Linked DNA regions of Caenorhabditis elegans. The protein of the gene in region 1 interacts with the protein of each later gene in a pairwise test. Each region holds a gene or a part of one and is shown in the gene's direction. Other genes may lie near its edges.

The links.
Region 2: the proteins of cdt-1 (region 1) and cdt-2 interact in a two-hybrid assay, tested with the Caenorhabditis elegans proteins (one study listed by BioGRID).

The regions. Positions count from the first base shown.
Region 1 is NC_003279.8:3,226,220-3,230,145, reverse strand, and holds the start of cdt-1 (CDT1 Geminin-binding domain-containing protein), read left to right. Parts: upstream 1-2,041; 5' UTR 2,042-2,178; coding exon 2,179-2,244; intron 2,245-2,303; coding exon 2,304-3,267; intron 3,268-3,926. Other genes in the region: txl-1 (Thioredoxin-like protein), read right to left, coding at 448-698.
Region 2 is NC_003283.11:14,988,744-14,992,669, reverse strand, and holds the start of cdt-2 (WD_REPEATS_REGION domain-containing protein), read left to right. Parts: upstream 1-1,543; 5' UTR 1,544-1,676; intron 1,677-1,750; 5' UTR 1,751-1,757; coding exon 1,758-1,874; intron 1,875-1,926; coding exon 1,927-2,071; intron 2,072-2,122; coding exon 2,123-2,317; intron 2,318-2,370; coding exon 2,371-2,829; intron 2,830-3,313; coding exon 3,314-3,920; intron 3,921-3,926. Other genes in the region: T01C3.3 (RING-type domain-containing protein), read left to right, coding at 1-532, 628-785; T01C3.2 (Transcription and mRNA export factor ENY2), read right to left, coding at 1,097-1,234, 1,278-1,352, 1,399-1,482.

The DNA.
Region 1 (3,926 bases):
CTGCAATTTTCAATATGCTATAATCCAACTTTTTGATCTAAACTTTATATAGGAATGTAATTTAAAAAAGGTCTGTTCCATGTGAAAAAATTATTTATTTTTTTTGAAAAATTTGAAATAGGCCTCGCACCATTTGAGGCCTTTTTCAAAATTTTCAACAAAAATAAATATTATTTTCAGATGGAACATAAATTTTTTCTACATTTCTATATCAATTTTAGATCAAAAAGTTGGATTATAGCATATTAAAAATGGCAGAGCCCTGTTTTGATTATCTTTAAAAAATTTAATTTGGAAACTCATAAATTTCTTGCAAATTGGCTCGTAAAACCTGCAAAAATCAATATTTTCAAGATATTCAAAATGAAATAATTTCTGAGACTTCACTTTTTTGCAATTTCTTCAAATTTCCCGCATTTCTATTCCAATTCCAGATGAGACCCATACCCGCTCTGGAAAACCATGAACGTTGGCATCGAATTGACACCGTTCTCTGAGCTGGTTTTCTCGCAGATCTCCACATCAACTTTCAGAAAAACTGCTCCAAGATATTGATTGGACAGAGCTTCAAATGTTGGAGCAATCATTTTGCACGGTCCGCACCAGACTGCAGTGAAATCGACAATCACTGACTTGAGACCAGCGAGGGAAAGCTGATTTCTGAAGTCTTCGTCGTCTTTCACGTTGATAACTGGCATGGTGTAGGGGAGATGGGCTGAAAATTAATTTAATATTTAGATTACTGCACTTATTTTTTTAAGGTGGTGTAGTCGAATTTTTTTAAAATTGCTTCATTAGACTCAAAATTGTCTCAAAACACCGAATTTCATGATGAAACTGCTTGAAAACTTCTCAAAAAAAGTTATGACTGCTCAAAAAATGGCCTAAAATTAGTTAAAATTTGAAATTAGACCGACTTTTCAAGCGGCTAAAAACTACCTTTTTTGAAATCACCGTCAAATTTTGAGTATATATAAAATGTAATTATCTTGCGTTTTCAACTCGATTTAGGTATTTTAAAGTCGATGGACGGCGAGATTTGGTTTAAAAAATTTAAAAATCTCGCCGTCCATCGACTTCAAAATATCTGAATCAAATTGAAAATGCAAGATAATATAATTGTATACTCAAAATTAGACGGTAATTTCAAAAAAGTTAGTTTCCAGCCGCTTGACAAGTCGGTCAAATTTCAAATTTTAACTAATTTTAGGCCATTTTTTGAGCAGTCATAACTTTTTTTGAGAAGTTTTCAAGCAGTTTCATCATGAAATTCGGTGTTTTGAGACAATTTTGAGTCTAATGAAGCAATTTTAAAAAAATTCGACTACGCCACCTTTAAAATACGGATTTTTAATCGAAAAATGCAAAATAATCTCAAAAAATGGGAAAAATCCCCAAAATCTAAAGAAAAATTAAAGAAAAAAATTGGGTTTTGAAAAAAGTTGTTATTTTGTAGTTGAATTTGTTGAATTTTTCCCGCTGAAATTCCAATTTTTAAGCTTTCGCATCATTTTTTTTGGGATTTCTGGCAAAAGCTATTGTAAATACTCCCGGAACAATGCACGAATATATTTTAGCTATTTAATACGCAGAAATTGTGAAATTTCGTTATTTTTTGGGCGATTTCTGGGGAAATTTTGACCGAAAAATTGTAATTTCTGGGATCACCGCTTCCAAAATTGTTCAGTTTATAGTTCTAGGAGCAAAAGATATCTCATTCAGAAGAAAAAACGAAAAAAAAATTTCAAAAAATATAGGAATCACGCCAATTTAAATAATTATTCATTAAAAAAAAGATTTTTTGAAGGTTTCCACAGTAAAATGCATTCATTCTCAAACTGATTTTTGGGTAATTTTGGGCATTTTACACGCTAAAATAGGTGAAAAGCACTTTTAAACGCTCTGAACACAATTTTAATATGCAAAAAATAGTATAAATTCCGGAAAATTAAGAAAATCGGCATGAAACGTGGATTTGTCAGCATTCAAAATGAATGCCGGTGCGGCGAGGGAGTGCACGAAGCGTGGAGACGCAGCGGACAACAAACGCGCTCCAATGGACAAAAAGTGCGGGAAACCGGGACTGTTCAAAGTGTACGCTTTGTCTGTCGTCTCTCCCATTTATTTTTTGGTTTTCGCGAATAATTTCGCTGAAATTATTATTTATTCCTGATAAAAATGAGTTCCCGGGTGACTAGATCCAGGTCCCAGACTCCGCAGACTGCTGTAACCGACTTTTTCAAGGTAAATTGGAGTTTGAAGTTATGAATTGCAATTATTTAATGTTTTTTTTTCTTTTTCAGACCACCAGAAAACCGAGAGCAAGAGGAGAAAAGAAGATTATCGATGAAAGCATCACAAAGACCACTACAATTAAAGAAGTACAAATTCCTGCTGCTCCAATCGTCGAGAATAAATCCTCCCGAACTCGCGCTCGGACTCCATCCCGTCAAGCGGAATTATCGAGTTCCGGAACTCCGCCAAAAAAAGCTAGAGAAGCTGAAGCAGAAGCCCCTGAGCTTCCCAAAATCCATGAAGATATTATTCTGGAAAATCCGGCTCCTCAGAAGTCAGCGATCGATAAGCTAATGGAAGCATCCGGCCCAGCGAAAAAGAAGGCTGGAATTCGAACTGTTGCAGATTTACAAGCAAGAATAGCTGCAAAAGGAGCAGCTAAAGCGATTCATGAGCAAAATTTGAAGAACAAAACGAAGCAGGTCGATGATCACGTGGAATTGCTGAAATCTCCGAAGAAACCAGTTATTGTTGAGCATCACAAATCACCTCAGAAATCCAAGGCCGCTCGTAATCTGTTCTCACCGAAGAAGCCAGTTCCAGACTATATTATTCCCGGCTTTAATGTCCTGAAATCGGCCGAAAAAGTTCGCGGAGAGCAGGATGATGCTCACGAAGAAGAGGGAAAACGAATGACTGCAGAGTTTCTGAAGAGCTCACGGCTTATTGATGAAGTTAAGGAGAGTGCACGTCAACGGATTGAACTTCCAACTGCGTATGAACATCTCGCTGATACTTTCAAACGAATCGATCAGATCACTGCGATCTTTATCGGTCAGAATCGAAGCTGTGTGGTTCCTGAGTTGATCAAGAATGTTAAGAATACGTCTGGAAAGGATTTTTCCAATGAACATTTGTCACAAATTCTTCATGTATATCCTCAATCATATCATATTGAGATGCGTGAACAGCGAAAAGCATTCGGCCAGGGCGGGAAGTATGAACTTGAGGTTCGACCGAATCTCGTGGAAGGTTCGTAGCTTTCGGTTGGCAATTTGCAATAAAAACATTTAAAAAATCAGCTATTTCTGACGTATTCCATTAAAATTTAGTGTCAGAAAATAGAAAAAATATTATATTAATCGTAAAATAGCATTCTTTTAAGTTTAAAAAGACTTATCGATTTTTCTTCTCTGTTTGATCACCTCCACACATTTTTGAACTCGAAAATATTTAACGATTAATAAAATATTTCTCTATTTTTTAACAGACCCTATTCATGCTCCTGATACTGATTTTTGATGTGAAAATTTTTCAAAAAATTCAAAAAAAAAGCCCTGGTTTTATATTAATTTTTGGAAATTCTAAAAATACTAGCTTTGCTCAAAAAAAAACTGAAAAAAAACACAATTTTCTCTTCAAAAAGTAAGAAAAAACACAGCTTTTTACCAGATGTTCGAAAAAAAAACTTTTTTGTTTAAAAAATCCAAAAAAAAAACAATTTTTTAGTAAAAAAATTCGAAAAAACTCAATTTTAAGAAAAAAATCCGGGAAAAAAACACCGTTTTTTAGTCATAAAATCGGAAAAAAGATAATTCTTTATTCAAAAAATCCGAAAGAGCTCAATTTTTTAGTCATAAAATCCGATAGAACAGCGTTTTTTGTAAAAAAAACCGAAAATACCGAATTTT
Region 2 (3,926 bases), on another chromosome or scaffold:
TCGTCTAGTGGCTCTCCACCTTCCACGCTTGTATCGACTTTCGAGGAAGCAATTGCGAAGTTGACCTCACTTTTTGGCATGATGCGCATGATGGAAGCAGAAATTAAGGATCAGCGGAACAATCTTCAAGCATTGAAAAATTCCCAGCGCCTGTCTGTCAGAGGAAGCATTCAGTCAAATATGTCGAGCAGGACGGATGGAATTCTTCAACGAAGACTAGATGAGACGGAGAGAAAGTTGGCCAAAACTTCAGCCGAACTCAAGGCCAAAGATGAGAAGTTGAAGAAGGAGACGGCAAGTCTTGAAGCCAGTCGTGAGGCTCATCGATTATTGCAAGAAGAATCGAACAAGTCGAAGGTGTCTGTGATGCGCCTTACGTTCAAGCTCAATCGCATCACACATGAATCTGTGAAAGAGCAGGCTGTTCTGAAGAAGAAGCTTCTGGACTGCGAGACCCGACTCGCTACATATTCCGAGTGCCTCGTCTGCTACCAGAAGTTTGACGAGAACACAAGAATTCCACGTGTCATGGGTGAGTAAATAAACGGATTTAAATGCTTGCTTGATTATAGATTATTAAGCTGAACTCTTATCAATTTCAGTCCAATAATTCTATCAAATTTTCAGACTGTGGACATACTCTGTGCGACTTCTGCATCAATCAGATTGTCAAGATGGCGGGTTGCTACAGCGCAACATGCCCTTTTGACCGTGTGCGCATTTTTGGATTTGGGAAGAGTCGTCGTCTCGAGGATCGCCCTTGCAATCGATTCATCATGAAATAACTGCTCCCATTTCTACATTGAAGACTCACTTATTGTATTGTGAATACTCTTATGTACATTGTTTTATCGAGAATTTGTAAATAGTATTATACTTGCACCTCTAACCTTTTTTTGCACCTTTAACCTATTTTATTTAGATTTCGTTTACAAAAAAGAAACAATAAACATTTCATGTCATGTTTTTCCTCAAATTCTCCGTTCTGTTATTGGAATTTACACCGATGAGAATCATGTTGCGTTCAATTTTTTATTGAAGAAATTTTACAAAATATAATGAGATCACAGTTGATTTCTTTCCTCGTAAAAGCGAATCATTTCTTGTTAGTAGTTGTGACGAATTCGAGAACTTGATCGTAGAGCTTCTTCTTTGCTTCTTGTGGAATTTCCCTTCTCGCCATATCCTTGACAGCATCGAAAACCTCCTTGGCACTCACGTCATCTCTGGCTTTCTGAAAAATGAGAATTAAGCGATTATGTTTGAACGAAACTGACCTCCAAGAACTTCTTCACTTCTTTCCTCACAGCGATCTCCCATTCACTATTTTGCAGACTGCTGAGTAATGTACTCTAAATTTATTGGAATTATGCCACCGAATTTTACGAATTTACTCACTTTTACAAGCGCCGACTCTCCACTGTCTTGAAATTCCATTTCGATCTGCTCTGGCTTCTTACGCATGATCAGGTCGTCGTTCATTTTTCTTTTTTTTTAGTTTTCTGAAAATTAACATAATTAATAAAATAAAACAATGCTTTACAGCAGATTTTAAAGAGAAAAACGAAGACATACACAAAGAAAGAATATGTAAAAGGTGTGTCGATTTACGATAAACAACACGCGGGCGCAATAGTGGAGTGTCGTAAGATCCGCGAAAAATGTGAATTCGAAAGGTTTCTTTTTTCTACCATTTTATAGTATTTTCTACCATTTTATCATTTTCTCAACTAAATTTCACTTTTTTCAGATAAAATATGGATTTTCTCCATTCAACAAAAGCTAGAAAAAGATATCTTCGATATCCATCATCAATATATGAAGAATTAGAATCAAAACATTATTCTATGCCGGCCGGAGAAACCGATGATCACGTAAGATTTTGCTGAGGAATACGCTGATAATTTCATAAAAATAGTATTTCAGGACACTTGGGTAACAGCCAGGTTTTCGCCTCACTTGAATCAAGAGCACATTTTGTACATGGGAGATGATCCGGGAAATATAGGAATTTTCGATGTTCGCAAGTTTCAAGATCGATCAGTGCCTTTGGAAGAACGGCAACTTTATTGTGATCTGAGCATACCTTGATTGAGGAATTTAAAAATCAAAAAGATTTCAGTTTTTCCCGCTCACGATGGTGCAATTATGGACGTTGTAGGTGTTCCCCAAAAGGAATCGCAAATTGTTTCAATATCTGGAGATTCTACTATTCGATGTTGGGATTTAAATCAATCTACGTTGGATCGAAAGTCCCAAGTGTTTTTTGGACACGAAGGATCTGTACGGTCGATCTGTTTCGCTCCGGATGATCCTAGTAAGTGTTTTTGATATTTTAAAAAATTTTTCGTGATAAAAATTTAATTCCAGACGTTTTTGTGACCGGTGGACGTGATTTCCAAGTCAAAATCTGGGATATGCGAGTATCCACAGTGAAGAAGATGGAAGAAGATTGTCGAATGGCAACTATCACATACAAGACTGCACATCCAAAACCATCAAAAGTATTAACATCAGGAACTCCTAAATCAAAAGCAAAAGCGAAAACGATAGAAGGTTATAAAGTGACAAGTGTTCTTTTTCTTGATGAGCATCACGTGGCAAGTGCTTCAGAAAATGCAGATAGTGGAATACGAGTCTGGGATATTCGAAAACCGACAAGAAACGGAGAAGGCCAGCCAGCCAGAATTCTAAAAGTTCCCACATCCAACAAAAAATCGTATGGGGTGACTTGTCTGACATTAGATCGTTTTGGTAATCGACTGTTTGCGTCATGCACCGATTCTTCAATTTTCGAGTACTCCGTTCCATCGGAGTCTGTTTCACCGAGTAAGGTTTATCGAATTTGGGTAGAAATCTCAGAAGAGAAAATCAGATTTATTTTTTAGCCGCGGCAAATCTACAAATTTTTTCATTAAAATTTAGTGATAGAGTATAAAAAATCATTTGATTCATATGAAAGTAGCTTATTTTTTAGCTGGGACAATTGAAAAAGTGCTCAAAAATCGCCGTTTGCCGAATTTTCCGGTAATTTTCAAGACAAGTTTTGAGCACTTTTCAATTTTTTTCGACTAAAATTATAGCTAATATCAGAAAATTCAAATTTTTTTTGCCATATTTTAGCACTAAATTTAATGAAAAATACTAGAAGAACATGCCATACTAGCCAATTTTGTAGAATTTCTGGTATCTCATCAATTGAGAAAGTCACAAACAAATAAAAGCATTACTTTGTGGCATTCCATGTCTTGTGCTTCAACCACGTTGCCGACACATGTTCTCGATCAATACACAAAAAACCTTGAACTTTCAGTTAATTCCTACACTGGCGCCACCATTCACAACTTTTATACCCAAGTCGCCTGCTCTCCGGTTTCTGATGTGATCGCATGTGGAAGTGAGGATAGTCGGGCTGTTGTTTGGGATCTTCAGGATCAATACAACTACATGAATGATCGAAAACTTCCGGATGATATTGACAAGCGGAGAACGAAACTTCCGCGATTTTCCTGCGATGGTCATCTTAAGCAAGTGTTGAACGTCGGATGGAGTTCTCGTGGAACATATTTCATGTCTTGTGATGAAGGAGGCGTCCGAATCTGGTCAGAGCCTAGGAATAGATGTACATGGAAGTTGAATGACGAAGATGATACCTCTTACCCGACTACTTCCCAGGAGCTCGGACTTTCATACGAAAAAATCAAGAAATTTGAGCTAAAAGAATCTGATGAAGCTATGTCGTGTTTCGATAGTATTTCCTTATCACCCAGACAGCGAGCTGATTCTTCCGGACTAAGTGGATCACCACAGAAGAATCGAGGATCGAAAAGACCTATATTTGAAAGCCCGTTAAAATCAATTTGCACAAATAGTCCAAAACCTCTCAGATTGAATAGATCTCCGAGAGCCAAGATGAGCAAGTAAGG